Linked DNA regions of Styela clava. The protein of the gene in region 1 purifies or fractionates together with the protein of each later gene. This does not show direct contact. Links are inferred from orthologs where the notes say so. Each region holds a gene or a part of one and is shown in the gene's direction. Other genes may lie near its edges.

The links.
Region 2: the proteins of poly [ADP-ribose] polymerase 1-like (region 1) and DNA (cytosine-5)-methyltransferase 1-like purify together in Homo sapiens (affinity purification with western blotting; 4 studies listed by BioGRID and IntAct, with this or other methods). This does not show direct contact. The link is inferred for Styela clava from reciprocal best matches to the Homo sapiens genes PARP1 and DNMT1.
Region 3: the proteins of poly [ADP-ribose] polymerase 1-like (region 1) and aprataxin-like purify together in Homo sapiens (co-immunoprecipitation; 3 studies listed by BioGRID and IntAct, with this or other methods). This does not show direct contact. The link is inferred for Styela clava from reciprocal best matches to the Homo sapiens genes PARP1 and APTX.
Region 4: the proteins of poly [ADP-ribose] polymerase 1-like (region 1) and DNA repair protein complementing XP-C cells homolog purify together in Homo sapiens (affinity purification with mass spectrometry; 4 studies listed by BioGRID and IntAct, counting the BioPlex papers as one, with this or other methods). This does not show direct contact. The link is inferred for Styela clava from reciprocal best matches to the Homo sapiens genes PARP1 and XPC.

What each region holds. Positions count from the first base shown.
Region 1 is NC_135251.1:21,237,031-21,245,180, reverse strand, and holds the start of poly [ADP-ribose] polymerase 1-like, read left to right. Parts: upstream 1-4,626; 5' UTR 4,627-4,877; coding exon 4,878-5,018; intron 5,019-5,403; coding exon 5,404-5,568; intron 5,569-6,633; coding exon 6,634-6,771; intron 6,772-7,105; coding exon 7,106-7,319; intron 7,320-7,548; coding exon 7,549-8,150. Other genes in the region: multifunctional protein CAD-like, read left to right, coding at 1-2,150. UniProt on the Homo sapiens protein: Poly-ADP-ribosyltransferase that mediates poly-ADP-ribosylation of proteins and plays a key role in DNA repair.
Region 2 is NC_135257.1:3,599,268-3,607,361, forward strand, and holds the start of DNA (cytosine-5)-methyltransferase 1-like, read left to right. Parts: upstream 1-4,982; 5' UTR 4,983-5,032; coding exon 5,033-8,094. UniProt on the Homo sapiens protein: Methylates CpG residues. Preferentially methylates hemimethylated DNA. Associates with DNA replication sites in S phase maintaining the methylation pattern in the newly synthesized strand, that is essential for epigenetic inheritance.
Region 3 is NC_135264.1:11,771,055-11,779,299, reverse strand, and holds the start of aprataxin-like, read left to right. Parts: upstream 1-4,923; coding exon 4,924-5,252; intron 5,253-5,714; coding exon 5,715-5,869; intron 5,870-6,296; coding exon 6,297-6,553; intron 6,554-6,559; exon of another isoform or gene 6,560-7,215; coding exon of another isoform or gene 7,216-7,325; intron 7,326-7,556; coding exon of another isoform or gene 7,557-7,819; intron 7,820-8,245. Other genes in the region: serine/threonine-protein kinase RIO1-like, read right to left, coding at 187-322, 858-982, 1,568-1,719, 2,895-2,958; small ribosomal subunit protein uS12-like, read left to right, coding at 3,806-4,357; uncharacterized protein LOC120333828, read right to left, coding at 7,216-7,325, 7,557-7,819. UniProt on the Homo sapiens protein: DNA-binding protein involved in single-strand DNA break repair, double-strand DNA break repair and base excision repair.
Region 4 is NC_135258.1:14,477,361-14,485,754, forward strand, and holds the start of DNA repair protein complementing XP-C cells homolog, read left to right. Parts: upstream 1-5,034; 5' UTR 5,035-5,130; coding exon 5,131-5,241; intron 5,242-5,710; coding exon 5,711-5,839; intron 5,840-6,510; coding exon 6,511-6,656; intron 6,657-6,929; coding exon 6,930-7,080; intron 7,081-7,336; coding exon 7,337-7,432; intron 7,433-7,550; coding exon 7,551-7,970; coding exon of another isoform or gene 7,971-7,972; intron 7,973-8,056; coding exon 8,057-8,158; intron 8,159-8,394. Other genes in the region: tRNA (guanine(27)-N(2))-dimethyltransferase-like, read left to right, coding at 2,946-4,313. UniProt on the Homo sapiens protein: Involved in global genome nucleotide excision repair (GG-NER) by acting as damage sensing and DNA-binding factor component of the XPC complex. Has only a low DNA repair activity by itself which is stimulated by RAD23B and RAD23A.

The sequences.
Region 1 (8,150 bases):
AAAGCCTTGCTCAAGATGGTGCGCGATGTGACTATGGAATTTACATGGGAGCAGCGAAAGAAAATGCCTTGGATGCCGCGAGTGCAAGTGAATATGCAATCGCCCTTAAAATGTATTTGAATGACACTTTCACTACGCTAAAAATGGATAACATGACATACTGGATAAAGCATTTTGAAGCGTGGCCTAAAAATCTTCCGATTTGCGTTCATGCTGAAAGGCAAACAATGGCTGCTGTATTATGGTTAGTGGAACTGTACACAAGGCCTGTGCATTTTTGTCATGTTGCTCGCGCAGAAGAAATACAGATGCTTCGCTTGGCTAAAGATCGTGGTTTACCCATTACTTGCGAGGCCGCACCACACCACTTATTCCTGACTGAGGATGACCTGGACACCATAGGTCATGGACGAGGTCGTGTTTGTCCATCACTCGGCACAAAAGCAGATCAGGATGCGTTATGGGAAAATTTGGACATTATTGACTGTTTCGCGACGGATCATGCTCCACATGCAGTTTCTGAAAAGGATAGACAGCAACCATTGCCACCACCTGGATTCCCTGGGCTTGAAACTATGCTACCGCTCCTGCTAAATGCAGTAAATGAAGGGCGATTAACCCTTGAAGACTTAATTTTAAGATTGCACACTAATCCAATGAAAATTTTTAACTTGGCTTCACAACCCAATACCTATGTTGAAGTAGACATGAATGAAGAATGGATCATACCATCTGAGATGCCGTTCACTAGATCTAAATGGACACCATTTGCTGGTATTAAAGTGAGAGGTGCCGTAAAGAGGGTTGTCTTACGTGGAGAGGTTGCATATATTGATGGTAAGGTCCTTTCACGTCCAGGTTCTGGCATGGATGTTAAAAAGACTACTCAACCACCCCCAGTGGTTTCAAATGTACCGAAAACTACAGCCTTGAAGGTTTCTGTTCCAGAAATGCCTTTTACTACTCAGCAAATTAGCCCCAGGCCCGGTACTTCTGAAGGGCAACTCGGATTACCACCTAAAGTACATAGAGTATCAGAACCACCTAGTGGCCTACCAATACCACATTTTGGACCAGTCGGTGATGCAGGTTCTGGTTTATTGATGACAAAGAGAATTGAAAGTGACAAAGGTATGACACCTCAAAATGCAAATGTGCTTAGGGGAGCTATATTGGGAAGTGGAGGAATATCGGGTAATTTGGAAGGTAAACTTCATCCTCAACATGGTTTGGTTGGTTCTGATGTATTGAAGGTTTCCCAATTCACCAAAGAACAACTTCACCATTTATTCAATGTGGCTCATGCTCTTCGTAACATGGTACAAAGAGAGAAATATCTCGGAAACATTCTAAGCGGACGAGTTATGGCATCTTTGTTTTACGAAGCCAGCACGAGAACAATGTGCTCTTTTCATGCTGCAATGCATCGCTTAGGTGGATCCGTTATTGCAATGAACAAAGCGTCATCATCTGTGTTAAAAGGTGAATCTTTAACCGATTCTGTGCAAGTCATGTCTGGTTATTCTGACATCATTGTGTTGCGCCATCCAGAACCAGGAGCTGTAGAAAGAGTTGCAAGGCACGTCAGAAAACCTGTCATCAGCGGGGGAGATGGAGTTGGAGAACACCCTACTCAAGCTTTGCTTGATGTCTTCACTATTCGAGAAGAACTTGGAACAGTCAATGGAATGACTATAACCATGGTTGGAGATTTGAAGAATGGTCGGACTGTTCATTCACTTGCTCGTTTGCTAACTTTGTATCGTGTCAGTCTTCGCTATATTTCTCCAGAATCATTGGAAATGCCTAAAGACACTTGCGACTACGTCACATCCAGAGGAATTCCACAACGTGTTTATTCGTCTCTTGAAGAAGCTTTGCCTGATACTGATGTTCTGTACATGACTAGGATTCAAAAAGAACGTTTTCAGTCGAACGAAGCATATGAAAAAGCAGTCGGAAAATTTGTGCTCACTCCACATTTGATGACAAAAGCTAAGCAAAACATGGTGGTCATGCACCCACTACCAAGACTTGGTGAGATCAAAGAATCTGTTGACAGTGATCCTAGAGCTGCTTACTTCCGCCAGGCCGAGTGTGGACTGTATATCAGAATGGCATTGTTGTGCATGGTTCTTGGAAAGTATTGATTGTAAATCTTTTGATAAACCTGACATTTTTATCATTGTGTCTCTTCCCTTGCTTTTTTCTGTAGATATTATGTCTTTTTGTTGCTAATGTTTGAATTTGTAAGATGAGTTGTGATAATCATTAAAAAGATTGATTGTGAACAAATTTGAAATCTAATGTAACCATTTTTTGATCAATCATACTCGAAGGCAGTCATGATAATGTCATATGATATTTCATCTTAGTTTGTGTTTCTTATGCGGAATTTTATAACTCTTCACTTTTTACATGGTTATGATCATTTTGACCTAGTTTGTGTATTTCTGCCATTTTCAAGTCTTCTGCAATGGAACAAAATAATTGCCATATTTTGACATTGATTTTCTGTGGAAATTACACAAGTGTTATATCTTTTTTAGTGTATACATTGTAACCGCTAATCTAAATGCGGTAGAGCATCCAAAAAGTTAACTATATGTATCTACTGAATGTCATAAATGGCAACAATAATTACCAAAACTGAAATTTGATTTAGGCTGTGGCCAAAAAATACATTCCAACCACAAAATATTAGTATCTGTTTTTGTAAAGACAAACTAAATGTGTGAACCCTTGAACTTTACTTCTTTTATTACGGCCTTTGTGTAAACAGTCTACCCTCGAATTTGAAATTTCATGACGACCAAAAATACTAAAACTGTGTGCCTAGTTCAAGTGTAATCATTAAATAAAGATAATTTGATAATATATCATCTCTGCGAATTTGTTCCCCAATCATATCATTACCATCCTTTACTCCCATTATTTCAAAATATTTACCTGAATGATAATTGGACGAAATCAAATCATCAACGGAAATAATGAAAGCAAATGCTGCCTCGCACCATATGGTACTTAATATTTCATTACATTATGTTTAAAAGTGTAATATTGCTTTTGCATCAAATAATGAATTGCCATGTCCAAAACTTTTCTCATATTTCAATTTTTTCCACCTGCCATGACCAAAATAGTGTCAGAAATTTCCATTTCAGTATGCTGCTTTGTGTTTAAATTTTTCTCCCAAGGGCAGGCAGCAAAACCGTAATGATTGTTTTGATTCAAGTAGTACATTATTGGTAGGATTAAAAGTAGAAAATGGTGATGCAACAAAATGTCAAATTTGTTATTAATTTCAATTGAAAGCACATGATATCCAAGCAAAAATCTGATTAGGATCTACCACCTGGCTGAGAAAAGCTGATAACATGACATGAAAACATTAGTGCAAATCACAAATTCTGGTCCTAGTCAGCCTTTGGATTAGTTTAGTATCCAATTGAATGGACTAAACTGGTATTATAGAAATTTTGTGTAAGAAAATTTTGTTTTTTGAACCATTTTTTTTGAATACTCATCAACATGATGGTGAAAATTAATGAGCCAATAAAAAAGTCTTAATATGTTACCCAAATGTGATATTATGTGAAATACCTTGTTTCATGACTTGACCAAATATTCGCATTTTGTAGTAGGGTATTGGTTTCTTATTATTGTGTGAATAATATTGAGACAATATATTGGTAATATCTTACCAATGAACGTGAAATAAGTTTGAATGTTTTGATATTACATGGAAAAGTTATCATTAGGTCCTATCTGACTCTTAATGTGAATCAACACAGGCCAATATTGCATTCATTACAAATAATTCTTCCACAATAGAGCTTTTGCAATATTTACAAATTTTCCACTGCTGCTATTGCTTCTGCCAATTTTTCTATGCTTGCCAACTGTGTGAATTTGTTATCAAATTTTTTTTCTGCATCTCTTGTCATTTCTTTGGTAGTTTCAAACCTCATCGATATGCGGGTGAGGACAAATAGCTGAAAGAAGTGTAGAACTAATGTACGCTTCATCATCGTTTTCTTGTAAGGCTGTATTTAGACTGCATAGTGCAAATGAATTCAAATTAGGAAAGCTTAAGTATGGCTATCTTTAAGGATGATGCTGTTCGCAAGTTCGATTTCAGAAATTTGGATACCGACTGTGTACTGTAGAGCTTGGTGCTCAATGCCACTTCATGTACATTCCCCGATGACTGAAATAATTTTGTGGCTTTTTCGTTTGGGAGTAGCCTATACAAATAGCGATTTTTTTCGATACAAATTTGAATCATCTACAGGGTATGTGCCACCTTTGCGCTAGTCGTCTCCATTTGCTCAAAATAGAAACTCTCTTCGAAACGAATCACGCATAGTATATACCGTAGGTCAGGATAGCTGACTGGAAAGACGAGATTCATATTTGTTATACTCTTCAGGTCCATGAATTAAAATCGAATCTCTAGTTAGACTACCTATCCCACGTCCAACGTTGATTTGAAGTGAGTGGCTTGCCGTAGCCTGCCATGTTATTGGGCGGTTTGTCATATTTCTTTTCCTCTGATAGATATGGAAATAATTCCGTTTGCGAAGCCGCATCACCTCTAGGTCGCCAGGGTATTTTTTGTTAAACGTTCGTTCAAGACTAGACGTTTCGGCCCACGCGTAAAGAATATTTTGAGAGCGCTTATTTGTAACATCATCTTAGGGTGAGTTGTCGCGAGGCGGGAATGTAAATAAGGCGCTTAACACGTGACCAGTGTGTCAACACGTGCCGACATCAGCCGGTTTGTGTTATTGTTTTGCATCTTCAAATTGCTGCATATGCAGAAATACCTAATACTGTAAAAGGAGTTTGTTTAGGCTGTGTTTTTGGTACTTGATATGGAAGTTAAACAAGATTACGACTATGCTGCTGAATATGCAAAAAGCAACAGATCACAGTGCAAAGGATGCAAAAGTTTGATAGCAAAAGATTCTCTCAGAATCGCGTTGATGGTTCAATCTCCCTTTTATGATGGAAGGGTAACTGTTTGTTTTCTGAATTGAATGTAAGAAAAAAGATTGTAACCTACCGAATTCGTTTATCTAATTACTAGCCTACATTGCTAATGAGGCGAAGTAGCCTACACATCCAGAATTAATACTGAATACCGGAATATTGTATTCTGGTATCGCTGTACTGCTGTATGACAAATTCTATCCGAGTAATACCAAATAACTGAATGAAGGAATTCAACAAACTATTACCCCTGTCATGCCAACTACAGGTCTTGGTCAATTCTTTGTTTTATCTTTAAAACATAATATTGACTGAATGTAATCAATGTAGGCTATCTAAAATACTTTATTGCAGTATTGGCTTGAATTTGAGGTTAATTTATTAAATTACATAAAAATTTTGTTTCAGCAACCCAATTGGTATCACTATTCGTGTTTCTTTGGAAAATGTCGTCCAACGAATACTGAAGAAATAAAAAATTTCAACAGTTTACGATTTCCCGATCAAGAAAAAATACAGGCTCAAATTGACGGTTTTGCTAGTGGTGCGAAAACTAGTAAAAAAGGACCAAAGGTACTTGAATTGCATGATTCAGAATGATACAATTCATGGAAAATTGGTAGCCGAAATTATGTTCGGGTTTATTATTGACTGACTATTGTACATATCGTCGTTGTGCCGTACCTCTTTGTCCTGTGTATTGTACTGAAGTTTTTTCGTATATTTCATGTCTGTTGTCCTACTATAATGAATCAGTCTTAGGTCAGTAAGGTCTCGAACATATATCCCGTCTCTGTTATATCCTTTAATTATTTTTGAGGCAAATAAGCAAACATGCGATACCTTTCCCCAGACTGGATTCCATGGCAGATGCACGCCCGAGGGCGCTAGCGCTCAACAAAAATGCACGCGAGCGAATTCAATTCTGCACGCCGAAAATTTGCAATTGCTCACCAATGTAAATCGGTTTAAATAGTTTTTAAATCAATAATCTAGTAATAGAAAGATGCCAAAAAATTACAACTTCACAATTGTCGACTAGTACTAGCTTGCAAGATTTGGCATGACCGAAAAATGCGAAGCAAAAAACCGTATCGTGTTGAATGAGAAAGATCGCCTCCTCACCGTCGCTGGCCAGTTATGGCTTTGATTCAGCGTATTTTTTTATACAATAATTTTACACGGATGTACTGAACAGTACCGGTATATAAAGTCGCACAAACACTCTCAAAATTAGTGACAATAATATAGAAATAATGTTTGGGGTCAAAGGTCAAACGTCCATTTTTGCTATGATTCAACATATTTTGTATCCAATACCGGTAATTTTACGCGGATGTATTGGAAGGTATCTTAGGTCGAAGTCAGTTTCACGCGGGCGCAGTTGTTTTGCACGCCGTGAGCTATAATTGCACGCCCGAAATTCGTATTTGCACGCGGGAATTTCTGATTGCACGCCCGATTTCTCCTTCAAAAAGGCCATGAAATCCAGACAGGACCTTTCCTACTGCTTTATATAATGAGAATAACAGCAATGAGAATAAAAGGCCTACAGTATATTGCAATTTATTTCTGACATTGGAGTATATTTGTTATCGCTGTTGTTTATTATTTCCATTTTACTTCTTATGTTATCAGATAATCTCAAAAACACTCAAGGATTTTGTGGTTCAGTATGCAACATCGAGTCGAAGTACTTGCCGAGGTTGTGATAATAAAATTGAAAAGGATGAAATTAGATTATCTCACAAGGAGAAACATCCAGAAAAACCGCAGGTTCCATATTTAAATATGTTGACAAGCTTAAATTTGTGCTATAATTAGTTAACCATTCAGTTGCTTGGCTGGAATTTCTCTTTATCTTGGAGCCACAGAAAAATGGCAAAATACTACCTGTTGTTCATGATACACAACAAATCAATTTACTATTTGTTTGAGGAAAGGAGGAAAATTTTCTACACAAGCGGAAATTTTATAAAATTTCACTTCGCCAAACTGTTTTTTCCTGATGTTTGATTATACATTTAGCAGATAATTAGTTTTGGGGTTGTTTAAATCAGTCCATCAACTTCCATGTATATTATTTTTAAAATATATTTTTTTTACCCAGCTGGGATTGGTAGATAGATGGCATCATGTTGGATGCTTTCTCAAAAAGAAAGATGACATGGGATGGCAGCAACATTTCACTGCAGAAATGTTAACAGGTTTTAATGGATTAGATGCTGAAGACAAAGCCAGCATTAGGAAATTATTAGCACCTAAGGAGAAACGATCTAAATCAAAAACAGATGCGAGCGCTGCCTCATCTGCCTCTGCTCCAGGTGAACAAAAAATCTGCTTCATAGTGGACAAAAAATTATGGCTTGTCATATTATTCGGGTCAATCTATGTTGGTTCCTTGTAAATAACTCAAATTCTCAGGATTAGTAATGCCTCCTATATTCAATTTTGAATGGAAAGATAGAGCCTATCTTTGAATATGGACAAATTCTTTATTGACAAGAAAGATATTTGTTATCAATTCCACAATTGCATAAAATATTTTTACAGATCCTGCTAAAGAGGAATTGAAAAAGAAAATGAAGAGTCAGTCAATATTGATGTGGAAGAACATTGACAAATTGAAAAAACTCGATATGAGGAAAGATGAATTAATTAGATTGCTAGAATACAATAAACAAAGAGTACCAACTGGAATCGATGCCATTTATCTCGCTATTGGTGATGGAATGACTTTTGGTGCTCTTCCACTTTGTCCAGAATGCAAAGGAAATTTAGTTGTTGGAAGCCACGATTATCACTGTACAGGACAGATTTCAGAATGGACAAGTTGTAGTTATAGCACAACTGAGATTGTGAGAAATCAATGGTCATTCCCAAAATATGCTAAAGAAATGGATGATTTTTTTAGCAAGTATAAATACAAAAAGCTGGATAGGGTGTTTCCACCGAGAGCTGCACCGTTACCACTGAAACAAAAGAAGGTGTTGCTGATTGGAAAATTATCAACCTCTAAAAGTGATATCAAAGCTTTGTTGGAGAAATTGGGGGGTGGTGTAACCACTACTTTGGGGAAGGCTTACTTCTGTATCAGCACCAAACAAGAAGTTCAAGCAATGGGAAAAAAGATTTCTGATGCTCGAGTGCAAGAT
Region 2 (8,094 bases), on another chromosome or scaffold:
GGCACAAGCGATTTGTGGAAGGCAGGGAAGAGGTGGAGGATGATCCGAGGTCAGGGAGGCCTTGCACTTCCACTACTGATACCAACATCGAAAAGGTTTGACAGTTGGTTCGCAGTGACCGTCGCTTAACAATTCGCGTCATTGCCAACGAAATTGGGATGGACAAAGAAACGGTCCGCACCATTTTGGTTGACACTTTGGGAATGCGAAAGGTGTGTGCCAAAATGATGCCAAAGGCTCTTGAGTTGACTGAGGAGCAGAAAGCTCAACGATTGAATGCATGCCGAGTTGACATGCATTTTTCCAAGTTTGACGCAAAATTTAATGTTAATTCTTTGCTCAATCGTCATTCTTCAATTGTTAAACATAGAACACATATTACGCCACACTGCAAAAGTGTTGATTACCGATGGTTAATCGTGTTGCGCAATCTGTGACGTCAGTCCCGTTTCTTTTTAGCCGCACCTCGTAGACAGTCTGTGCAACCGATATTGAGGTATTTTTCGAATATTTTTTATTATACCGAAAAAACAACCGGGGCATTGCGTCGGTTGGCCCTATTGACGCGCCGCCACTGGGTTGTACTGATTGAGAAGTCGAAAACTCAACTAGGTGCATTAAATACTTAGTCATAAATAGAAACTCTACAGCAGGAGATATTGATGTTTAAAGTACAATGTTTTCTATCTCATACCCCTAAGAAAATGTATGAAACTGAGGAAGCAGAACGCGCTATGGTCTATGAACCCTCTGGACTATGAATCTTCCCCCAACCGTTGACCCCCGAAAATTCTTCCTATACCTATAGGCGCGGCGATGTGGCTCAACGGGCTAAGCGTTAGGAATACGCTCGCCACCGCACCTCTAATTACTCTGCATGGGTTCGCATGGGAGAGTATTGCTGGACTCCTCGCCGTCGTTGGGTGGTTCACGTAACCGCTGGTCGGTTACGGCTTCCTCCGACCTCCACCACCAAGTCCATGCTTCCGAAAACAAACAATATAACTAATCCCATACCAAACTTGGAATGGTAACCGGACGAGAGGCCGTGGTTCGCCATATGGATAAGCCGTATAAATATGTAAATCCTATCCTACTTTACCATTGCAAAATTTTCAAGGCTAAATTTTAAGAGTGCTTCTGCGAGTTGGCGCCTGTAAAATGTGGTATGTTTCAAACCATGATTATGATTCATTGCATACAACAATCTGTTTTTTGAAAGTACCGGTGAAGAATTTTAGCCTAGTCTATCACAGCTATTTCTACACAAATCTTTTATTACTGCAGTTAAATTAAAACTCCTAGGAAGACATAGTGATCAATAAATTATCTGATTTATATTTAGGTTTCCGGAACACAACCGAAAACTAACGAGTTCAAAAACGCGAAAACGAGGTAATGTTTACAGACCACGCTTGAAAATCTGTCTGAGTGAGAAAAGTGTCTGAGCTGATGCGAAAAGGGAGCATTGTTACGTCACTTTTTGCATCTTGCTGATTGGCCAATGTCACGCAGTAAACAAGGAAGTCGATGATCGGGGAAAAGTCCATTAGGTACACGAGTGACTCCACGAAAATCTGAGATATATCGCTTTTCTGTTGTCCAAATACACTTAAAATACGTTATATATTTTGCACTTAACATCGCATATCTTATGTACATATGGCACATCGGGCGTTTGCGTTTTTTATGGTTTTTGCCGCCAAACTTGATGTGGCCGAGTTTTAGCATAGAACGCTATTCGCGGGAAACTGCGATACTTGCTTTTGTTTGGGAAAAGGCTTGGATATTTTGCGTTCATATTCAGGTCATTATTGCAGGAAGTATAAGTTTATTTCGACTCCATATTCAGCATAACAATAAAATGATTGATAAAAACAATTGGGTAAAAACTGATTATGAAAAATCAGGAGAGCAAACAAAATATCTGAATCTTTAAAACGTACATACGGTACCGTAAATGCTGAAATGGGCTATTCAAAGTGACACTACAGGACAATTCCAGAAATTTTGCAAGTTGTTGGATGCTATATAATTTTACATTTTCAGCTACATGTTTTGTTTCATTGTCCAATCAGTTGCTTTATTGAATATGTAAAAAATTGCACAAAAGTTACACCCAGGACTTACGGTACTTGGTAGATAAAAAAATATATTGTGACACTACAGGACGGCAAATCCACCATGCACTACCAGTACGTTGTGTTGTGCTGTAAATTTTTGCGATGGTACAGTAGGAGCCCATAATATTTTCTGGTGCAGTAGCTGAACTACCCCTATATGTGGGGTCTCTTTCATGTGTCAATCCTAACCCCCACCTGACTATGCCATCCAAATATTACGTCTCTACGACGTCACAGTGACGTGATAGAGACCTTCAAACTATACGAACTTTCATCCAAGACGCGCACCCGAAATCAAACGGCTATTTCTCTCGTTTTTACGTCGCGACGATTCCAGTATGAGAGAGATCGCTGATGTTAGTAAGTTCTTTATCGTCGGCGCCGATGCCATTTCTTGCGATAGTACGTATATTTAACAAGCTCTATGACATGATTGTGATGTAATTTTTGGATGGCATAGTCTGGTGGGGGTTAGGATTGACATGTCAAAAAATTGTGATGCTACGCCCACTAGAAGTATGTTGGGTAAGAAACTACACGAGACCCTCTATGTGTTGCTCAAGTTACTTAATGTAACACTGTAAATCCATGCCAATAATGTGCATATTGTATGTGACACTACAGGACATTTTTCCACTTCGAAATAGCGGCCTCTATCATCTCTTAAAATTCTGGTAATAAATTGTTAAATGGGTAAAGAAATGTCCTACAGCACTGCAAACATTTAAACTTTATTAACTTAAACCCAGTGCGTCAATTCCATATGAAAAAACTGTACCACACAATTATACCAAAATTTCTACATTTCAGGCCATTTTTTATAAACCATCAAAAACCGGGTCTAGTATAGTTTAGTACCACAAGTACTTCCAGCGGGCATAGAATAACGAATTTTGCATATGTTATTCCTAACCCCCACCTGACTATGCCATCCAAAAATTACGTCACCAACACGTCATGGGGCTTGCCAAATTATAATTACGATCGCCCGAAATGGCATCTGCGCCGTTGACAACGAACTCGCTAAAGCCGGCGATCTCTCTCCTATCGTGAACGCTGTGACGAGTAAACGAGAGAAATCGCTTGCTCGATTTCGGGTGATTGTCTGCACGTTTTGGACAACCTTCCGCATACTTTGATGGACCATATTACGCTACTGTGATGTCGGAATGACGTAATTTTTCGGTGACGTAGTCAGATGGGGGTTAGGATTGACATGTGCAAAAATTATTGAGCCAGGCCAATTAGAAGTGCATGTGGTACTAAACTATACCAGACCCCAAAAACCTAGGTGAAATTTTAAATTGTTCGATGAAATGAATGCAGTCCAATAAAATTCCAATGTCTTTTGATATCAGAAATAAAAAAAATTACTTTCACTACACTTTTTAAAAAATTGATGGAATTCAACTTTTGCTTGGAATGGCCCAAATAAATATGTAAATCCTATCCTAATCAGAGCTGCTGTGGCGGTAGCGGTACAATACACAGATCATTACAACTTTTGGATCTGACTAAGCAAACTGCCTGAATAACAAACAAAAATGTAATGTCAGAATGTGGGTCAACAGCTAGATAACCTCTGCAGAGTTCTTTCACCTATGTTTTTTTTTATTTCATTTTGTTAATAATGTATGTTTGAGTTACGCATGATGATGAATAAATAATATTACTACCAGTATACCACTTCCCAACTTGACTATCAAAAGGAAATTTCTAGGTTGGTGATATTAATTACAACTACTGATATTCAGATTTATCATAAATTTATTATTTATACTCTGTCGTTATTTTCTTCTATGCATTAACTTTGCTGTTTACAAGCAAATCTTGTGAAATGGTCGATGGCAAATATTGGATTGTCCTATTATATACAGAAGTAAAGAAAAAAAATTTTATTCAATATTTTTTTTATATATTACCTCAAATTCAATATGAAAATTGCTCTATTGTTGCACAATGCTGAGTGAAGAATTGAGCAAATCCTGTTATCAGTTAGTTTTTTGGTTTTTGCTAGTTGCGGCTAAAACAATCAAAGTACAGACGTAAAGGCTGTAGGGCACAGTTCTCTGATTTCGAAATGTCCAGACATTTGGTTTAAAAAAACAAACAATCTATTTGCCATCGTGATCCTAGCGAAATTGCGGCGAAATATTTTACCCACAAATCCCAGCGGTGTTCACTTCAAAAATCTGACATTAAAGTGCCATTACCGCGACATATAGAAATATACATTGCTGAGAATCAGAGTGTATTCAAGAAATTCAATTTCGATTTTCTAAAAGATCTCTTATTAGGAGTAGAAATATTTTTATTGTACATTAAAGTATATTAAATTTACTTGTCTTTAGAATTTAAAAAATAATACGCATCCACATTAGTTCAAAAGATAAAAGGGCGTTTCGACGTATTAATCTGCGATTCTCTAAAATATCCCACATTAGGAGTAGAAATATTTTTATTGTACATTAAAGTAGAATAAATTTACTTGTCTTTATAATTTAGAAAATAACAAGTTTTCTGGCTGACTGTATGTTAAAACTTGTAACAGTATAAAAATATTTTTCCCAGTATGCATTCATGCAGTGAAGATGTGTTTGTTTTTTGCATCATATTGGTCAGTTAATAGAAATAAAGCTGTGCTCATGTTCTATATATGTTATGGTCCATAGTCAATTTGTAAATTCGGGAATTTTACATTATTATTGATAGGAAAATTTAGGCTACATTCTACCACATACGAACAAACAGGTTGGTATATTGGCGTAAGTTTAGCTTAGTATATCTTCATGCATCTGCTATTTATATTGTGCTCTTCTTGGTCATTATGGTTTTAAATTCTGTTACACTCTTAGTTTTACAGTTTAGGTCTTATTGTGTTATTGCACTCAGTATTAAAATTTTGAAGAATGCTGAAAAGTTCAACCCAAAATGATGAGAAAAAACACAAAAAGGCTTGTATTCAACCTACCATTGCTGATATGTTCAAGAGGAAAGCAAAACGAAAAGCATCTGAAGAAGATAAAGAAAATGGTCCAAATGATAATTCATTCAACGATGAGGTCGTAAATAACACCTCAGATATGAAACGACTGAAGACAAGTATTGAAAATAATGTAATATGTGAGAATGGAACTACTGAATTGAAATCACACAAAGAAACAGAATTACAAAAAGACAAAATCGTTGGGGAAATTTTGCAAAAAAAGACACCAAATACAATGAAATGTAAATATTGCAGACAGTTACTTGACGAAGTTGAAATGTTTGAAGGTGACACACCAGATGCGAGTGAAGAATTCATTGCTCTCACTCACGAATCATTGGCACTGTTTGTGGGCAATGAAGAGACTGGCCGTCCTCAGCACAAGATCACTAATTTCAGTGTTTATGACAAGAATACACATTTGTGTCCGTTTGATGCTGGTTTGATTGAGAAAAATGTTGAGCTATTTTTCAGTGGTGTTATCAAACCTGTATATATTGAAGATGCAGGTGTTGAAAATGGAGTGCTTGGAACCAGGTTGGGACCGATCAATGAGTGGTGGACTGCAGGTTTTGATGGTGGTGAAGCAGCTCTCGTTGGATTTTCAACTGCATTTGCTGATTATTATTTGATGGAGGCTAGTGCTTCTTATTCTAAGCTATGGAATAGCATGCAAGAGAAAATTTATATGAGTAAAATCGTTATTGAGTTCCTTACTGATACAATTGAGGCAGTGTATGAGGATTTAGTAAATCGTATCCAGACTTGTGTTCCACCTGCCAACTTAAATATCACTCATTTTACAGAGGACAGTCTCCTACGCCATGCACAATTTGTTGTTGAACAAGTAGATTCTTTTGATGGATCCAGGGAAGAAGATGAAGATTCATTACTATCTCATCCATGCATGCGTGACCTTGTCCATCTAGCTGGTGTTACCCTGGGTAAACGTAAAGCAGTACGAAAGCGTATTATCAAAGACAAAAAGGCTGTAAAAGCTTCATCAACAAAAGCTACAACAACGCCTCTTGTGGCCTTCATGACAGAGTCGTTTTTTCAAGGAACAGTTGAGACAAAAGTCAGTGCACCACGACGAAAACGATGTGGTGCTTGTGAACGATGCTTATTGCCAGATTGTGGAAATTGTAATGCTTGTAAAGATATGGTGAAATTTGGTGGAAAGGGAATCGCCAAACAATCTTGTGTGGAAAGAAAATGTCAAGAAATGATATATGATGTAGACAAGGGTTCAGAAACTGAAGAAGAAAAAGATGTAATTGTTGAAAAATTACCAAAAAGTCCGAAATCGAAGGGTCTACGAAAATCAAAAAATCTTCACAAGTGGGTTGGTGATCCCTATGTCCCATTTGGGACTGAAACTTCCAATAAAATATATTATGGCACTGCCAAAATTAATGAAGATGAAATAACTCTTGGTGATTGTGTCTCTGTACTTCCTCAGGATCAAAGTAAACATCTTTTCATTGGTAAGATTATTCAAATGTGGGAGGAACCTGACAAAACAAAAATGATTCATATTGATTGGTACATTCGTGCTACCGAATCAATTCTAGGCGAGGTTGCAGATAAAGGAGAATTATTTTTAATTGACGATTGTGAAGACACAAAACTTGAGTTTGTGAATAGTAAGGTAAATGTTGAAATGAAAAGCACTCCTGAGAATTGGTTTACGCTTGGAGGTGAAATTCCTGAAAAGCATAACTGCGATGGAATCAGCGATTTCTTCTGTCAGAAATGGTATGATTCTGATATTGCTCGATTTGAGGACCCCCCGATCTCTTCATGCAAAGAGGGGGAATGTGAATCATGTGCCAGACTCAATGCTAAAGATGAAGCTGGTGTTCCAAAAGCAATTGATGAAATAGAACGGACCGAAAAGAAAGTTGTTTACAATAAAGTACAATATGATGGAGTGAGCTATTCTGTTGGTGATTCTGTATATCTTCCAGTGGAGGCATATGGATTCGATTTCGTTCAGCCAAACAATAATGAAGAAAAGCCAAAAAAGAACAAGAAAATAGACTTTGAAAAATACCCTGAATATTATCGCAAATCTACAAAACACATCAAGGGGAGTAATGAAAACGTCCCTGAGCCTTTTCGGGTTGCAAGAATAGTATCAATATTTTCTAATATGAAGACAAATGGCAATCCAAGTGATCAAGTCAAAATTCAAGTTAGAAAGTTTTATCGGTCTGAAAACACACATAAAGGTATCAGCGGTAGCTACTCTGCTGATTTAAATCTTCTCTTCTGGTCTAGTGAAAAGACTATCGTGAACTTCACTGAAGTTCAAGGTAAATGTAGAGTTGAACATGAGTTAGACCTGAAATCAAGTATCGTAGAATACACAGCTGGTGGTTCTGACAGATTTTATTTCAGTGAATCATATGATGCAGATGACAAGTCATTTGATGATCCACCACTGTCTGCAAGACGCATTGGACAATCAACAGGAAAGAAAACAAATGTTAAAGTTCATGCTAAAAAGATTAAAGTTACTGATGAAAAAGAGAAGATTGATGATGAATGTGAATCAAAACACAGTTTTAAAAAATTGCGTACATTGGATGTATTTGCTGGTTGTGGTGGCCTCTCGGAAGGTTTTCACCAAGCGGGTATTGCAGAATCTTGCTATGCTGTTGAGCTTTGGGATCCAGCTGCTCAGGCATATCGTTTGAATAATCCCGGTGCTACTGTTTTTACAGAAGATTGTAATGTCCTTCTTCGACGTATCATGGATGGGGAAGAAAAAAATTCATGCGGGCAAACTCTTCCACGAAAAGGGGATGTGGAACTTTTGTGTGGTGGTCCACCTTGTCAAGGATTCAGTGGAATGAATAGGTTCAACTCAAGAGAATATTCTCGTTTCAAGAATTCTCTAGTCGTATCTTACTTGTCGTACTGTGATTATCTTCGCCCAAAGTTTTTCTTGCTTGAAAATGTGCGCAATTTTGTTTCTTT
Region 3 (8,245 bases), on another chromosome or scaffold:
TAAAATTCACAGCTTGAAGCAAATGCCATATAAAATGTGCGTGCGTAAATTTACGTGCACCTCTCAAAATATTACAAAACTATAAAAATTCAGGAAATATATTATGAAACTACGAGAGCTAAAATCTTGCATTATGTTGAACGTCAAAAGAAAAATTCCATAATTAAATGTACATAAATTCATCACCTCTTTCCCAGTGCTTATTACACCATTGATCTGTTTAATGACGCCACGACTCAGCATTTTGAAAAGTATGATTCGAGTTCTTGGATCCATGACTTGTTCAATAGTTGCTCGATCCGATTTGTCTTTTACTCGATTTCTGAAAATTATTGGTTGCAGTAAATAAACTTGAAAATTGGTATTGGTGAAAATTGGTGATTCAACATAACATTTTGATATTGATTATCCAATATTTGCTAAAAGAAAAAAATCACATACACTGTTATTAAGAATCAAACCAAGTACCACATGACGCCTTACTTCCCAAAAACAATTTTTTTTATTACCTACCATGGCGCATAAAACAAATGATAGAAGCACATTAAATAAAGGTATTTTTATAGAAAAAAGGGCCACATTGTAGTCTTTGAAAGGGGGTCATGATTCATGAAAGCAAAGTTATGTTACAGCATCACCATGGTATTCAATAGTTTTCAACAAAACTCACTATTTCACTGAAAAATTAGTGAATTAATATTAATTAATAATATTAGTTAATAATATTAATTAATGGAATTCCTGAAAATTGATCATTTTGAAAGAACATTAAATTTAAATCTTCCAGGCACCTCCCAGTTCTTTGATTTAAAAGGAATAAGATATGAGAATGAGAGAAAGTTTTTGAATAAATTTACTTGTTTTCAACCATTCTTTTATCCATTTGTCGAACTTGTGCGAGATTATGTTGCGGAATACTAGGATGCTCATATGCATCAAGATGAATCTTGTCAGAAAATTTTGATAACATTTTATCCACAGGCTAAAAAACAACAAGAAGTTTATACTTTGCTGAGCACTCTATTTTATTTCAACTATTGGTTCTAAAGAGGGATGGCCAAAATTCGAAAATTCACTATCCTGAATACATTCTGATATAATATTTTCGAATTTGGAATATTGACGTTAATTGGGTCCTCTACTTTCGAAGTTAATGGATATTCAAATGAGTTTAAATTTGAAAATACAGAAGGGTTAAGATAAACAGTGATTTTAGTGGTTCTACGTTTTTTGTTGTAGAATTCAAAAAATTCAATGTCTTTTTGGTCATACTATAATATTTCAATTGCTCAAAATGATGGGTTTTCAGATAAAACTAACTAGGCCTATAATATTCCCAAAATAAAATTATTATTCTCTAAAAATAAAATTTTAAATATCATTTATTTCAAATTAATTGGAATATTCAATTCGACTTGGACATCGTCAGATTTAAACCAATATAGTTAGAGAAATAACTGAAATTAATAAGCCTGTCCCTCAGACATTCAGTGAATCGCCATTCAAATGATCTCTTCCTGAAGCTATACATGTGCTTGTGGCAAAATAATAAATGATCACATCCTACTTGATAAGATTGGTTGGAGGAATACTTGGCGCCGTTTCCTCTGCAATTTTCTGTATATATTTCATCCATTTCCATATAGTTATCATCACTCCAATTGTCATCATCATCTGCTATGTTTGTATTTGAATCGATACATCCTTCTTGAATAGGATCTTAAAATAAAGCATTACATAAATAGTTAATTGTATAAGAGACGCAATAAAATAATGGGCTTCATACATGGTGACACACCGATATGGTAATTTTCAAACGCGGTTAAAAGACACACATTGAAAATACACAAAAATCCAACAATCTCCAAAATGACATATCTTGACTGCTGATAGACAAACGACAAAATGTTGTTTATGAGAAAGTTCTATACATTACTCAACTGATCTACACAAGAATGATGTAGAGTCGGCTCAAATTGAAATAGTATGTCAAAGAGAGGATAGGATTTACATAATCATCCTGGATTAATCATATGGCAAACCACGGCCGCTCAGCCAGCTACAGGTCCATGTCAGGTAGGTATGGTATTAGTTAGCCAGTCATATTTGTTTCAGATGCATGGACAAAAACATAATGTAAAACAATGTTTTTCAAAGTGCAGTATTATTACTAGTATTATGACAAAAATTGATAAGACTATTCTAGCTATTGCTCATTTTAATTTGATTATAACACATTGTACTCTTGTATGTGAATCAACTTGCTGATTGAAATGTTAAAATTTCTGAATTTGGGGTAGATTACAAAACAGTCATTGAAGAATGTGAATGAAACAGCGAAGGAAAAAAAAACAATAATAGAGTACCGTAATAACAGAAAGATGATGATGAGTAAAAATAGAAATACTGAAATAATAATTGGCGCAGCGGTGTGGCTCAACGGGCTAAGCGTTAGGAATACGCTCGCCACCGCACCTCTAATTACTCTGCGTGGGTTCGCAGGTTCGAATCCCATGCAGGGATGGTTATGTGCGAGAGGATTGCTGGACTCCTCGCCGTCGTTGGGTGGTTCACGTAACCGCTGGTCGGTTACGGCTTCCTCCACCACCAAGTCCATGCTTCCGAAAAAAATAAAATAAAATACATTAAAACTAATCCCATACCCGACTTGGAATGCTAACCGGACGAGAGGCCGTGGTTCGCCATGTGGATAAGCCGTCTTATCGGCTTTCCTCTCCCCCGGGATAAATATGTAAATCCTATCCTATCCTAATAAAAGTTACAATGAAAAATATAGAAAAATTCACTTTACTAGCTTTACGTGATACCAGCGACTTAGATTATGATACTTATTTATTATTATGACTGAATGCAAAAAAGATGAATGAACTTACTAGTTTTTGTCATCATTTGCAAATATTCCTCCGCCTGGTCCAAATCATCAAACTGCCCCTCCATACCGTAATACTGTACTAAAGGGTTGGCCAACAACAACAAGGATTCTTTTCTAAAACAATTTGACGCTGCCTAACTGAATATCAGATGTGTAGAATGAAAACGATCAGAATACAATATAATAGCCTATATACAAATATTGAAATAGCCTGCTGCACCAGCGTTTTTCAGTCGCGTGTTTTCTTTTGCACATGTTGTGCAATATTTAATTCTCTGAAACACCAGACTTTTACTCATACGCAAGATGACAGTAAAGAATCGTGAATTACAAATCACGATTTTTGGTCACTGATGACAAGCGCGCAGTACGAAGTGAAATCTTTTCATCATTTGTTTGTCTCGTGCAGCTAATTTTTGGTTTGGTCTTGGAGGATGGTGTGAATATGTTTTGTTGATATTGATAGCATGATGTTTAAGTTTATTGTGTAATAAAGTATTTTTTGACAAATCGAGAAAGAGAGAGATTTATTTTTGTAGACCCGACACTCACTTGGCCTTGGGTACGTACCAGCTTACAGACTTCGGTTACCTACATCACATTCATACATCTGTACAACACCAAACATAGATATGTAAAAATTTTGTACATTTGGAGTAGGCTTATAACAGTATGTTGCACCACAAAGGTGAAAAAGTCTCTTGTTCAAAAGTGTTTCTGGGAGTTTCGCGCAGCTGCAAATTAAAAAAAAAAGAAATTGGGATCAATTACTATTTACGCAAAATCTATACCGTAGCTAGTCAGTGTTCATCATGCTTTCTCACTGCATCTGGAAACAAATGATTATATTTATTTCAAATAGTTTTCAAGTCTTAATTTACATGAAAATCTAACTTCTGAACTTGCCAACTTATGGCGTTCAAAAACTTGATCAGATTGAAAAATACATTGCTCACTGGATGTCTTCATCAAGTGAATAATACTTGCCTAACAAACACATACAATGGTTTACTGGTGAATCAAAGCCAAGCTGTATTAACCACCTTCTTAACTCAGCCTTCTAAGGACTTCCACTCATCTGCAATTGATTTCAAATGGGAAGGCAGATATCGAAACTTTTATCATGCTGATTTATACATGAAAACAGGAAAAATGTTGGACATAATAGCCAAGAAAAAGAAAAAATCAAGAATGGATGGAAAGCCACAAATAAAAGGCGTTGTTTTAAGACTTTTAATTAAAAAGCCGAAAAAACCAAACAGTGCGAATAGAAAATGTTGCAAAGTACGGTTAAGTACCGGAAAAGAAATCATTGCTTATATACCCGGCGAAGGACATAATTTACAAGAAAATAACGTTGTTCTCATCGAAGGAAAAGGACGTAAGGATTTAGTCGGAGTTCACCATAAAGTTATTAGAGGAGCACTTGATTGTGCTCATGTTGTTAAGAAAGAACAAGACTAATTTTTGCTATAAAATACTCGCAAATACTAAAGTATGACAGACAATTTGAAACAATTGAGCTCCTCACAAAATATGAAAATAAAAATTACCGTAGGATTATATGAGAGCGTTAGATAGCTTGGAATTTATATTTTGTGACAATAAATAATACTTAACAATGGCCTCAAAATGTTTGTAATGGTTTAAATTCTGACATATTTATGAATCTTTCATACTGTAGTAAAGAAATGTTTTACTTAAAAAAATCTCTCGTAAAAGAACAGCTAGCCTATTTAACTCTTAAGGATTTTGTCGTTCAACGTATGTGATGTTCCATTTTCACAAGGCTTTACTAGTCTTAAAGTATATGTTAATAAACTTCTAATGCCGCCAATGTTTTATTCAACTCACAAAGTTTTTTTGTGAGTTGAACAAACTTTGTCTAAATTTTTCAATATAAAGATTTAATAATATAAAACATAATTCCTGCCATTTCACACAAAATCTTTTCATATAGAGCCGTGCAAAAATTCATCACTTTTTCAATTGAATTTTACCGAATAACTTCCTTACCTAAGTTGTGATTGATGCTGTTTTGTTCTATCTATTCTATATGGTTCAAAATGCTCTTTACAATGTCAAAATCTAAAATACAAAGATATGAAATTTGTTGTTTTGAGATTTACTATTTGCAAATGCATTTCAAGTTGGAACTTCTTATTTTTTTTAATAGGAATTACCACATTGCTTTATCTCTATCTTTCTCAATGTATTTTCAATGTTGCAATTCAACACATGCTCCGATACTTCTACCAGACGGTTCGCCAGTCATCGTTGGGAGATCAGCAGAGACTAAAATACCTGATAAATTGTGTTCAAGAAATCAGTTGGAATTGGTTGCAAATTACAATCAAAAGTAGGTAGGAATGTGTTATATTTTTGCTGTTATAGATACTGATATATTTATGTTTTGTGAAATTATTATTGACGTTATTTGAATATACTTTCTTTTGTGTATAAAGAGACTTTTTTATTTGCCAATGTTTATGAAATCTGTATCAGGCCATACAGGTATTTTTGAGGTACCTATAGATTTATATTTGGAATATATGCTTATTTGAAAAATGGTCATTTAGACGGAAACATTTGATTCTAACTTGTTTCAAATATAGATTGTCCGCTATTGTGTTTTCTTGCCCTGTCAAATTGGTTTGTAAAAATATTTCTGTTGAAAATGTGTCAAGTATATGATCAATGTTTATTGAGACTTTATAAGACGTTTTTAAAATATGTTTAATTATTTAAAATGTTGTCTTGAAAACCACTTTTCTAGAGTGATTTTATTGGCATCACTAAATTTGTTATTTTTGAACATTAGATATGTTATGGTCAAGCAACTTGGCAGTAATGCATCTCAGATAGAAGGGATTGATATCGGACATAGAAAAACTGACAGACTTCATGCAGGACAAACGTTACACGTCGTTGATATGAAATATCCTCACAAGATTGCTATATGTATCCCTAATTCAGGTTTCATTTTCTATCATATAGTGAATTTATTATTATTAGAGAGAAATGCACTATTATAAGGACATGAAGGTTTTACCAGTAGCATACGTTGTTCAATAAACTAGATTGCTGAAAATATGGGGTGAGGATGGAATTTTTTTAAATTTAGAAAAATGTTGGGTAAAAGACAGTACCTTGATGAGCGCAAAAAAAGTGTTTACGCAAATAGTAGTAGAATTTTAAATAACTAACGCTGTTTAGGAAATCATAATATTCGATTAATGTAGGTTTTTGATATTGATTTATCCAGAGTTTACCGTGATAATGACGAAAAACAATTCTTGTCCCAAAAACAGTGACCTGTACTCATATCCCAATGTAAATTTATTTCTCCAATAATTTCAAAGAAACCACATCGAAACTCTTATGTTCTATAATATTTATTCAGGAACTACATCTTCCAATACCAAGAAAACAAAACTACCTCAGGAGGAAAACACATTCAGCAAACGACAAAAAATGACTGAAAAAGTAGCGAAAAATATTTCCGATGAAGAAAACGAAACAAATTCAAATAATAAAAATAATTCAGCACAAAAACCTTCCTATCATTGGAGTCAAGGTTTGAAAGGATCAATGGATGATCCTAGTTTGAGAGTTTCCAAAGATGATAAAGTTGTTGTCATCAAAGATAAATATCCAAAGGTATGTTGATGCTAATATTATATTGCGAACTAAAGTCTGAATTCATAATTTGCATATGGTAAAAATCCATTGCAGATTTCTATTCAATACTCTGTCACACTGTGTACAAAATACACAGGGTACTGGAGGCTGCTCCACAAAACTGAAAATTAGCATAAACGCAGAAAACACAGCTAATCTATGAAAAATTGATGAGAAATATATTACAACTTATATAAGCAAGAAAACTTTGTCTGTATACCAATTTTCAAAAGAATTTGCTCAAAGTGAAGTCTAACACACTCGCTCTCGAGATAAAAGTGAATCATCTTTCTGCTGAAACCCCCTCTGAATCATCTTCTCATCGTTGTTAGGAAATTTCCTTGCAGAAATTTTCAACCATGAATTATTTGAACTCTGACAAAATTTAACATATTAACCCAGTTGAATGAGGAGTTTTGAGAGGAATTTATGGGTGTGTTTTTGAGTGGTGGAATTTTACAGACACTCTCTCATCATAGCTCATATTGAAACTTATATATATAATTCGACTTATAATTAAAACATTGTCTCTAAACCAAGTTTAATCCTAAATATTCAATACATCATGACTTGATTTTGTGTCTATGATGTCATTTTCAGGTTTTCACTACTGTTTCATACATTTTCTAATATTTAATTAATCACAATGCTGTATCCATATCGTCATGGTAACTTGTATCATTACCCATTGATGCCGTGTCACTGACGTTTTTATATTGTGAGCTGCCCATTCTTTCGTTCTGCAAGGACCCTGAAATTCGAATGGTTTGTCAATTATACATTGCAATACAGAAGAATAAAAGAATAAATAAATGTTGATATATAAGTTTCCAACCTTTTTTTTCAAGCGACCCAAATTTTCAAAAAAATAGATTTAGTAAAATCTCGCGACTCAAGTATAATATGTTCAAATACAGACAGACTAGTATTTATATGTTTAATTTTTGTATCTTTTATTAACATTTTTATTGTATATACTCACCTATTTCTAATTCTATTCCAATTTGATCAATATTGTCTGAGTCAAAAACTGATCCACATTCACTGGAAGCATTCGATGTATTCTTTTCATTAGCAATATTTTCCAAAATGTTTTCATCTTCATTGGGACTTCTGTTTGTATTTGGAAAACCATCTTCGCAATCTTCTGTGCTTTTGTTCTCTTGGTTCAGAGGAGACATTTCTTGCATTTCAACATCTTCCGTCTCTTTTGTGATTTCTGATTCAAGCCTGCTTCCTCTTTTTCTGTATAAATAATAAATGAGATGCATAATGGCTATATTCACATGAAAATTTTAGTATCTAGAACAGACATGTGCAGATTACGACTCGCGGGTCAAATCCGGCCAACTGGGTAATTCAATCTGGCCCGCCTGATGCTGCCACAACTTAACTGGAACCAAATTTTGATGATTTAGTTAAAAATAGGTCAAGGGATTTGTTAAGATTGCGGATAAATTTTGGCACGTGGTTCATTGTTTTCCACTGTTGCTTTTGTAACACTGTGAACATTGTTCATAAAATGTAACTCTTTACGTCATACTTACATGGCCCGCCAGTCTCGGTGGGCAAAATTTTTGTTCCCTGATCTAAAAATCGTGCCCACCTCGATCTAGAATGTCCGTTTTTCCGCCAATAGTAACATTTTAGTCTTTTCTCTTCATTTACAAA
Region 4 (8,394 bases), on another chromosome or scaffold:
GAAATAAACCTGAATATTTTACCATATTACGCAGTAAAAGTAAATGTTACGAAACGCAAGAAGTCGCGAAATAGAGGTGCGATGGCGGGCGTATTTCTAGCGCTTAAAACGCTGCGGGATACCACTTTAGATTAGGACTTCGATTGATCGCTGAATCGCCAGAAGAAAAAATGACCAGATCGGCGGTGAATTTTGTTACGTAACTCTGGTCACGTGAGGTTACATAACAAAGATCGCGCGAAACTCGTGTTATTAAAAGCGGCGTGAATTGCAGTCTGATTGCTGTCAGTTTAGTTTCGCTGCGTGGGAGGGAGGATAGTGCGGAGGTTAGGAGTGATCAGGTTTTGGAGATTGGGCGAATCGAATGTTGCTACAGGGGCGGTGACTCCTCTATGAGCCGGGGCCACGGCCAATGGGCCGCAGAGGAGTCACCACTTCCACTCGAATGTTGGGTGCTTTTGCGGAACTGGTAGAGTTAGTTTGTTTTGCAATATTTGAATTACTTTACAGCTAGGTTCGGCAATCACTTTTCTCAGTGGGCCAGTTATAGATTACCGTAAAAGCGCCTAACTTCGGACAAAATTACTATATTTTCGTCAATAACTTGGCCATTTATTGTCCAAAAGGTGCCAAAATTGCTCGGTAAAACATTCGTGCGGTAATTTACATTCCCTGCAAATTTCGGTTCAATTGGACTATTTTTACTATTGAAATAATCGATATTTCTTGCCATCTGACCGTTATCCTTCACTGCCCTAACTTCGGACAGTCATTTTCTTCACTGCGTAACCGCGACGCACAGAGAGAAAGAGGCTTCCGATGCGGATTGCGTAATCACGTCGTTGCGTGAAGATAAGACGTTCGATCGTCGTCGTAACGTAACATTGACGTCACGACCAAAATGCATTAATTGAAACTTCCGTCGTCCTATGTTTACATCTTTCGTTCGTTATTTGCGATACTTCAGATGAGTATAATAACACGTTAGTCATTTTAATCAGAAAATGCATACGTAAATATATCTGATGCAAACCGTTTCAATCCACAATGAAGTATTTTAACAGGCTTCTATCGAAGTCTTTGAAGTATTAATATTCTCGACGGATAGCTTTTTTTTTATCGTGCGCGGTTATCTTTATAATTGATAATTTATATCAAACACACGGTAAATCCGATTGTAAAGTTTAATTTAAAATTCAACTTAATCTTGTAAACATGTAGGTCCCGTTTATTTGTTGGAGATTAAATTTATTTTTAATTTCGAGTGAAAAAAATTCAGCCAGGCCGTATTCAATAACTGTCATTTCGACTACTAATCATAAAATAATGGTTAAGTTAGTGCACTGTGCCATATGGACGTTGGAATTATCATAGTTTTATATGTTCGATTTTAACGTCATCGATTAAGTGTGACATGTATTTTCATTAATGTAATTTTGGCATATATTCATACATGACCGAACAAAATACAAAAATATTACATTGGAACGCCGTCTTTATCTTAACGGAAATTGTCATATTGGCTCCGTTGTGTCTGGCGTCAAAATTCATTTCCGCGACGCAGTGTGACGTCGTGTCGGAAGTGAGCGAAAAATAATCTACGTGAGGTTGACGTAATTTTTGACGCTGCGTGAAATCTTAATATTCTTACGGAATTTATAATTCAGAATTTTAGATTTTATTTGAATCTCGTACGACATCTTGCGATCACTCAAATAAATTATATACATTGTTGTCGCCCTCTACCGAATGATGGTATTTTGACGATGATAGCTTCAGTAGGAGCGACGCTCTGCGCCGTTGAATGCCGGGCAGTCAATTTTCGGCAAAATTTCCGTTTTTTTACCAAAAAAATAATTATGCAACATTAAAAAAGATGAGAATAGATGTAGATATAACAGCGCAACCTATAATAATTGAAATTAGCAATATACGGCGCGTTTTAGCCAAGATATGGCCGTTCAAAAATTTTGTCCGAAGTTAGGAACTGTCCGAAGTTAGGCGCTTTTACGGTACCGTACGGTATGATGTTTTTTGATAAATGCAAAACCCTAATTTATACCTCAACTTCTTGTACAGTACCAAGAGAGTGAGTAGATGGTTATCGTTTCCCTGTTTCATGTCGTTTGGGAATGAAATTATTGTACTGCAGTACTGTAACCTGGTACGGTAAGTGACTTAAGATATAATATGTGGGGAATTACTGTATGCTGTACCTGTACGGTAGCTGATAATAAGAAAATTTATATTCATAGAAACTATTTTTAATTTCAGCAGGCACAAGTGGGCAGGATCCGACCCGTGGGTCGTAATTTCAGACAGTGCAATATATTTCATGACCTCACTGCTAGCGCACTACTCGGATTATTATTAGATTATTCACACATATTCCAGTATTCATAAATATTTCATCACTTTGTGAAAAATATAAATTCACTCTTAAATCATTCATCCATCACTTATATTATTGTCTTTAGATTATATGAACGCATGTTTTTATATATGTTTATATTTTTAATTCGCCCAATTGTGACTTGCATCTAGCCATCAGCAATCATGACTTCAAGTGAGATAATTAAAGAGAAATTGCAAAAAGGTTTGCAGGCAACTTATATTGAAATAGACGATTTGTCGCCCAATATGTGTGGAACTAGTTATAACGTTGTTGTTGTATCGGAACTCTTTGTTGGAAAGTCACGTCTTGAGCAGCAAAGGATGGTCAATGACATTATTGCAGAAGAGATGAAATCGATTCACGCTTTTACACAAAAAACTTATACTCCAACAGCATGGGAAAAAAAGAAAAATGCGTAGTTGCTGAAATAGTATGTTACCATCTCCCACACTTGGGATAGCTGTTAATATTTTCTTTCGCAATTTTTAAATCAGATTTTTAATCATATAATCATAAGGTAGTATCGAAAATAGTCAACTCAAATCTAGGTATGACTGAATGTACACTATCTGAATTAGGTATTTCTGCGAAATATACAAAAGACTTTCTCACAAAGCTAGGAAACCAATGGCACACTGCTAAAAGATTACATACTCCTCGTCTATTCTCTTTACTTGCATTATCACAAATAATTGAAGAATTTCAAGGAGCTGGAATGACGGCTTTGTCTTGTATTGATGCAGTTCCAGGTCTCGGAATGTCAGGAATGATTTGGGCGAAACACTTCGGAAAAAATGTTTCAGTTACAATCAATTTACATGACGAGATTTATATGAAAAATTGTTTGGAAAAAAATCTGAAAAATAACATTCTTGAAAACAATGTATCTATTGTATGTAGGAATCCGAATTCTTTACTACACGAATCAAATAAAAGATACAACATGATATATCTAGAAGCATATGGAACATGTGTAAGGTACCTTGAGGCTGCTTGTTTCTCTATATGCCACAGAGGCGTATTATGTATTGTTTCAACAGACCTATGCACTTTATATAATAAATGTCCAGAAAGAGTGCCAAGAATCTATCATGGGCAAGCAATGAAACATGAATATGGTAAAGAACTTGCTGTAAGGCTCATTTTAGCAAATGTAGCTCGTTCTGCGAGCAGATGGGACCGTGGAATATCTGTACTTTCATCTTATGTGGATGAAAATTCCATTGTTCTTTTAGTTAGAATTTTAAAAGGTGCCACGCATGCTAACAAATCATTGGATTTTATACAAAGAGTCGCTCATTGCAGAGTTTGTCATTATCGTCAAGTTTTGAATGAAAAATTGTACTATGTTCCAATGCCAGATATCACCGACTGCTTTTGCAAAGATGGAGGAATCACAGATGAAAATGTACAACCACCGATTGTAATGTTAGGTCCAGCATATATTGGACCCATATTCGACACTAATTTTGTGATTCAAATGGCTAAAACTCTTACCCAAATTGATATTAAAAATAAACTTGTGCCAGTCATGCAAAATATGACATTGGAAAGTTTGTGTCTTGATTCTGATGAGCAAGAAGTTGAAATTATTAAACTTTACAAGGAAACAATAGAAACTCAAAAAATGTCTAAAAGCCAAGATGCTAATGAGCCGTCTGCTAAAAGATTGAAACCAAATGATAGTTTGGAGTCGATTATTCAAAAATATTCTTCGGAAACTTGTCCGATTTTCTACTATATTGTTGAGTCTCACACTAAAAAAGGGTCAAATCCTTTGAGAATTCTTGCTTCTATTCAAAAGTTGCGGTCGGTTGGATTTCGGGCTTGTGGAACGTTGTTCGATCCAAGGGGAGTTAGGACTACTGCCTCTCCCAGAGAATTTAGAAAAGTAATTAACAGCATAACATCAGACTGAAAATATTGACATCTTTTGTCTTGTGATTTTAATGAAAGCTGTAAAAAAATTTCATTTTATGCACAATAGAACAAAAATTTTTCATCTTTGCTGTGAACCGAAACTAGTAGTTGCTTAACCTTATGTGAAAAAATTCGTGCAGGATCCAAAATGCCTTACCTCAATGGCCCGCTTGTCAGTGAATTTTGTAGTTTATTTTTATGGAGCATTGATATGAGTTGAATAGTTACATATTTACCTGAATTGGGTGTTTTTAGATTTTATTCCATTATACCTTCTCAAGCTCTCAAAATGTGTTTTGTAGTTATAGATTTTATTTGAACTATATTTTGTCACGATCCTACCATAGGTATTAGACATTAGTAAAACACATCAATTAACACCCAATTTATAATTTGAACTATAAAATTGTATAAAGCAGTGGTTTCCAACCTTTTTCGCTATATTCCTCTTTTCGCGCATATTTTGGAACTACTGTATTTATTCAATCAGTAATGAATCATTAGCTTGTATTATGTGTGTATAAATAAGCATTAGAGTAAGAATATTAGCAGTTTTACTAGACCAAAATCACAGCACAAAGTTCCTTCGGATTGGGAAACGCTGGTATAAAGTATTATTGGAAATGAAAGTATCATTATTTGAGGAGTCTACTTATACTGTCTCTTTTCCCGTATTATCTTGTAAATTTTGAAATGTGAAGTTCCATGTAGAAGTGCTTAATGTGAAGAAAATATTTTGGGCTTTTTATTAAATTGCTCCATTTATTTAAAATGTTTAGAAGAATAGTGAATAGTTTAGGTTAGCTTTTGTAAAGATGTCACCTGATACAACAACAGAAAGTAGTGATGAGGAATGGGAAGAAGTTGAAGAATCTCAGAAATATGAAGAAGAAGAAAAAGATGTTGTTCCATCTGCAAATGTGGAGGTGATTACTATTTGATATCTTGAATACAAATGTTTTATCTAGTCTTGTATTTTAGTCCTTGTTTCTTTTGAGTTATTTTGGCCACTAGATTGGTTGCTTGCAGTCATTTACACTATAATATGGTCCTTCCCCTTCAGTGTTGAGAGTATCAATAAAGATAGATTTTAACTCTACTACTATTCTCTCCACTCTCAGTTGGAGGCTCTCAATTTTGCTTTGAGTAATCTAGTATAGGCCCTACTAGAAATTATGTTTAATATGAAAATTTTTCTACTTTATATATATATATATATATGATGTACCTGTGTTTTATTTGTATATTCTCATATTATCACCTTGCAGTAATCAATAATAAATCCTAAAATAGTCCCTCAATCTCAAATTCTTGAACAACTACTTTGAGTATTGAGTATCAGTCAAATTATACAAATTAATTTTGCATAGATATTGAATATGTTTTTGATTATAGGTTGAGTTGGTTCCAGATGCTGTGAAGAAGAAACTAAAAAGAGAAAAATGGGATCGAGAAATGGTTGAAACATGCATTAGGCAAGCAGCTAAGAGAATTGACAAAGAAATGCAAACTGTTATGCATAAGGTAAACAAATTTGGTTTCAGCTCAGAAAATATGATGCATTCTGATGGAAAAAGTATTTTTGTATGATGATCTGAATTTCAATACAAATTTTCTAAAGTGTCCCATCATTCAAAAGACAAAGGATGATTGACGAAGCTCAATCTTTAAAAATTCAATTTCATTCAATTTAACTAATTTTCCAGGATAATTTGAATTCTTGATACCAGGATAACACAGCAGGGAATAGCCTAAATATGATTATATTTAGTAAACCTCTTATATGAGTGGTTCCTATTTTTTTATATTTCCTGGGAATGTCTACTCAAATGTGATACGGCACACAAAAACTAGCCCCCGCTCGTTTGTCATTTCATCTACTGCGGTTACCACGGTTACCCCACCAGTGGTGCCTGGAGTTGTTCTCTCGAATCACCATGAACGACACTGGAAACACCAGGTTGCTTAATCGTACCGACATGGCTGATTTCTGTCATTAAATATTGTTCCACTTCCTTTACTTGTTTTTTTATGAGATTCCCTCAAAGATGACGCTGTTTGATAACCGTGACTGGTTTATCGCGTCTCCCATCACATTATTTTATATTTTACCTTACTTTTGTATACTTTCGTATTTTCGGTATGTGAAAAAAAACATTACTGATTACTGACTCATTGAAATTATCAAAATATAGGTTCATCTTATGTGTCTCTTAACAATGGGAATGCGTGTTAACCGAATTTGCAACAATGAAGAACTCCTATCAAGAACATATTCTTTACTTCCCAAGAAGTACCATGATGTCAAGCCGAAACATGTCTCTGCAATGTTCTTAACAAGGTTTGAATCGTTTTGTAATGCTAAAATCTATTCTTTTCAGCTGTTCATTTTTTTCATTTTTCATCCATATTATCATTTCAAAAGTTTTAAGTTGAGTTTATAGAGTTGAAAGTTCAATGTTTAATTTTAAAATTTGAATTTGTGTCTCACTGCCGCCAAATTGCATTTAGACTGAGAGTAAATTCAGATTTACTTTTGCACAGGGTACCAGTGCATGTAACTCTTATTTCTTCTTTTTTTCTCTTTTTTCTTCACTATCTGTGTTTAATTCAGGTTTATACAAGATATGCAAAAAATATTTGAGACTGAAAATGGGGTGGAAAAGCTTCTTGGTTTTGGAATGCTCAGATTACCATTCTTGGAGACTAAGATGAAAAAAGCTCTGGAAGCACAAAAAGTCAAGTTCAAGTTGGATTGGGTGTTGGTAAGTCTTCAGTTTTATGACTTTTGCATAGATATCCATTATTCATAAACAAACATGGAATTGCTTAGGGTAGAACACATTGATTTCTATCTTTTCAATTGAAGAGGGGAAGAATATTCAATTCCAACTTCCAAGATATACTGTTATTTGGTTGCAATCTCACATAAGCGAGTAAAATTTCAGATAGTTTTTCAGGTTACTATCACCTATTTCATAGATGTCCATGGATATACTTTACAAGTTTTTTTATTCTCAGGTTTTTGTCCTTGCATTGCGAGCCATGGGATTGAATACAAGGCTAGTGGTATCATTACAGCCTCTTCCTTTGAAAACACCAATAGAGAAACGAGATGTGAGTATTTTATGAAGAATTTCGAGGCTCCTAATTAGTTCAAAATGAAAAATATTAAATGACTGTAAATAAGAAAAATCACAACCGTGCTTGATGATATTACTTGATACTTTTTCAGGAGAGCGTTGCTGCGATCAAATCGAAAATTTACGCATCAAAGAAAAATAAAACTAAAGATATTCCGCTTTTAATGGACAAGGACAGCAAGGTGATACTTCAACTCGATGGAGCGAATGATTCTCCGCAGAAACGACGAGTTACTCGATCATCCACTGCGGGAGTGAAAGTTAACAATGAAGAATCCGTCAATCCTGTTAAAGCTCGGAAACGAAAAATAGCTAAAAAAGATTCCGATGAAGAAAATGCTGCTCCTTTAAAAACAAGGAGAAGTAAATTGAACAAAGTTGAAGAAAAAATTACCGAAGTATCGACAGCTGTAGCAAAGAAAGAAGTAACGAAAAAATTGAGAAAATCAAAGAAAGATACAACTGCAGTCCAAGAAAGTAAAACTAAGAAAGAAAATGTATCAAAACAAAAAGTATGTTACTTACAGCGATTCAGAAGTAACTAGCCAATTATATTTATCCAAGATTGTCTTGCTTAACAAGTTATGAATATTCACAGATTGAAGAAAATAAAGTGGACGAGACGCCACTGGTGAAACAACTCACAAATACCAAAGCTAAAAGAAAATTAAGAACTACTGTTAAACGAAAGATTAATGTGGTATGATCTTGACATTTGCTTTTTATTGAAATTTATTTCGAACAAAGCTAAGGTAGATTGTTTATTGGGTCTAGGAATTTATATTCCGCTTGACCTGCTATTGAGCATTATTCACTTTATTTATCACACACTAGGCGAAATGATGCGCTTGGTCAAAGCACTGGACGTGTAGAAAGTTAAACGAAAAATCTATAACATACAGTGTCCTCACATAGCTTGGGCAACATCCTATCTCA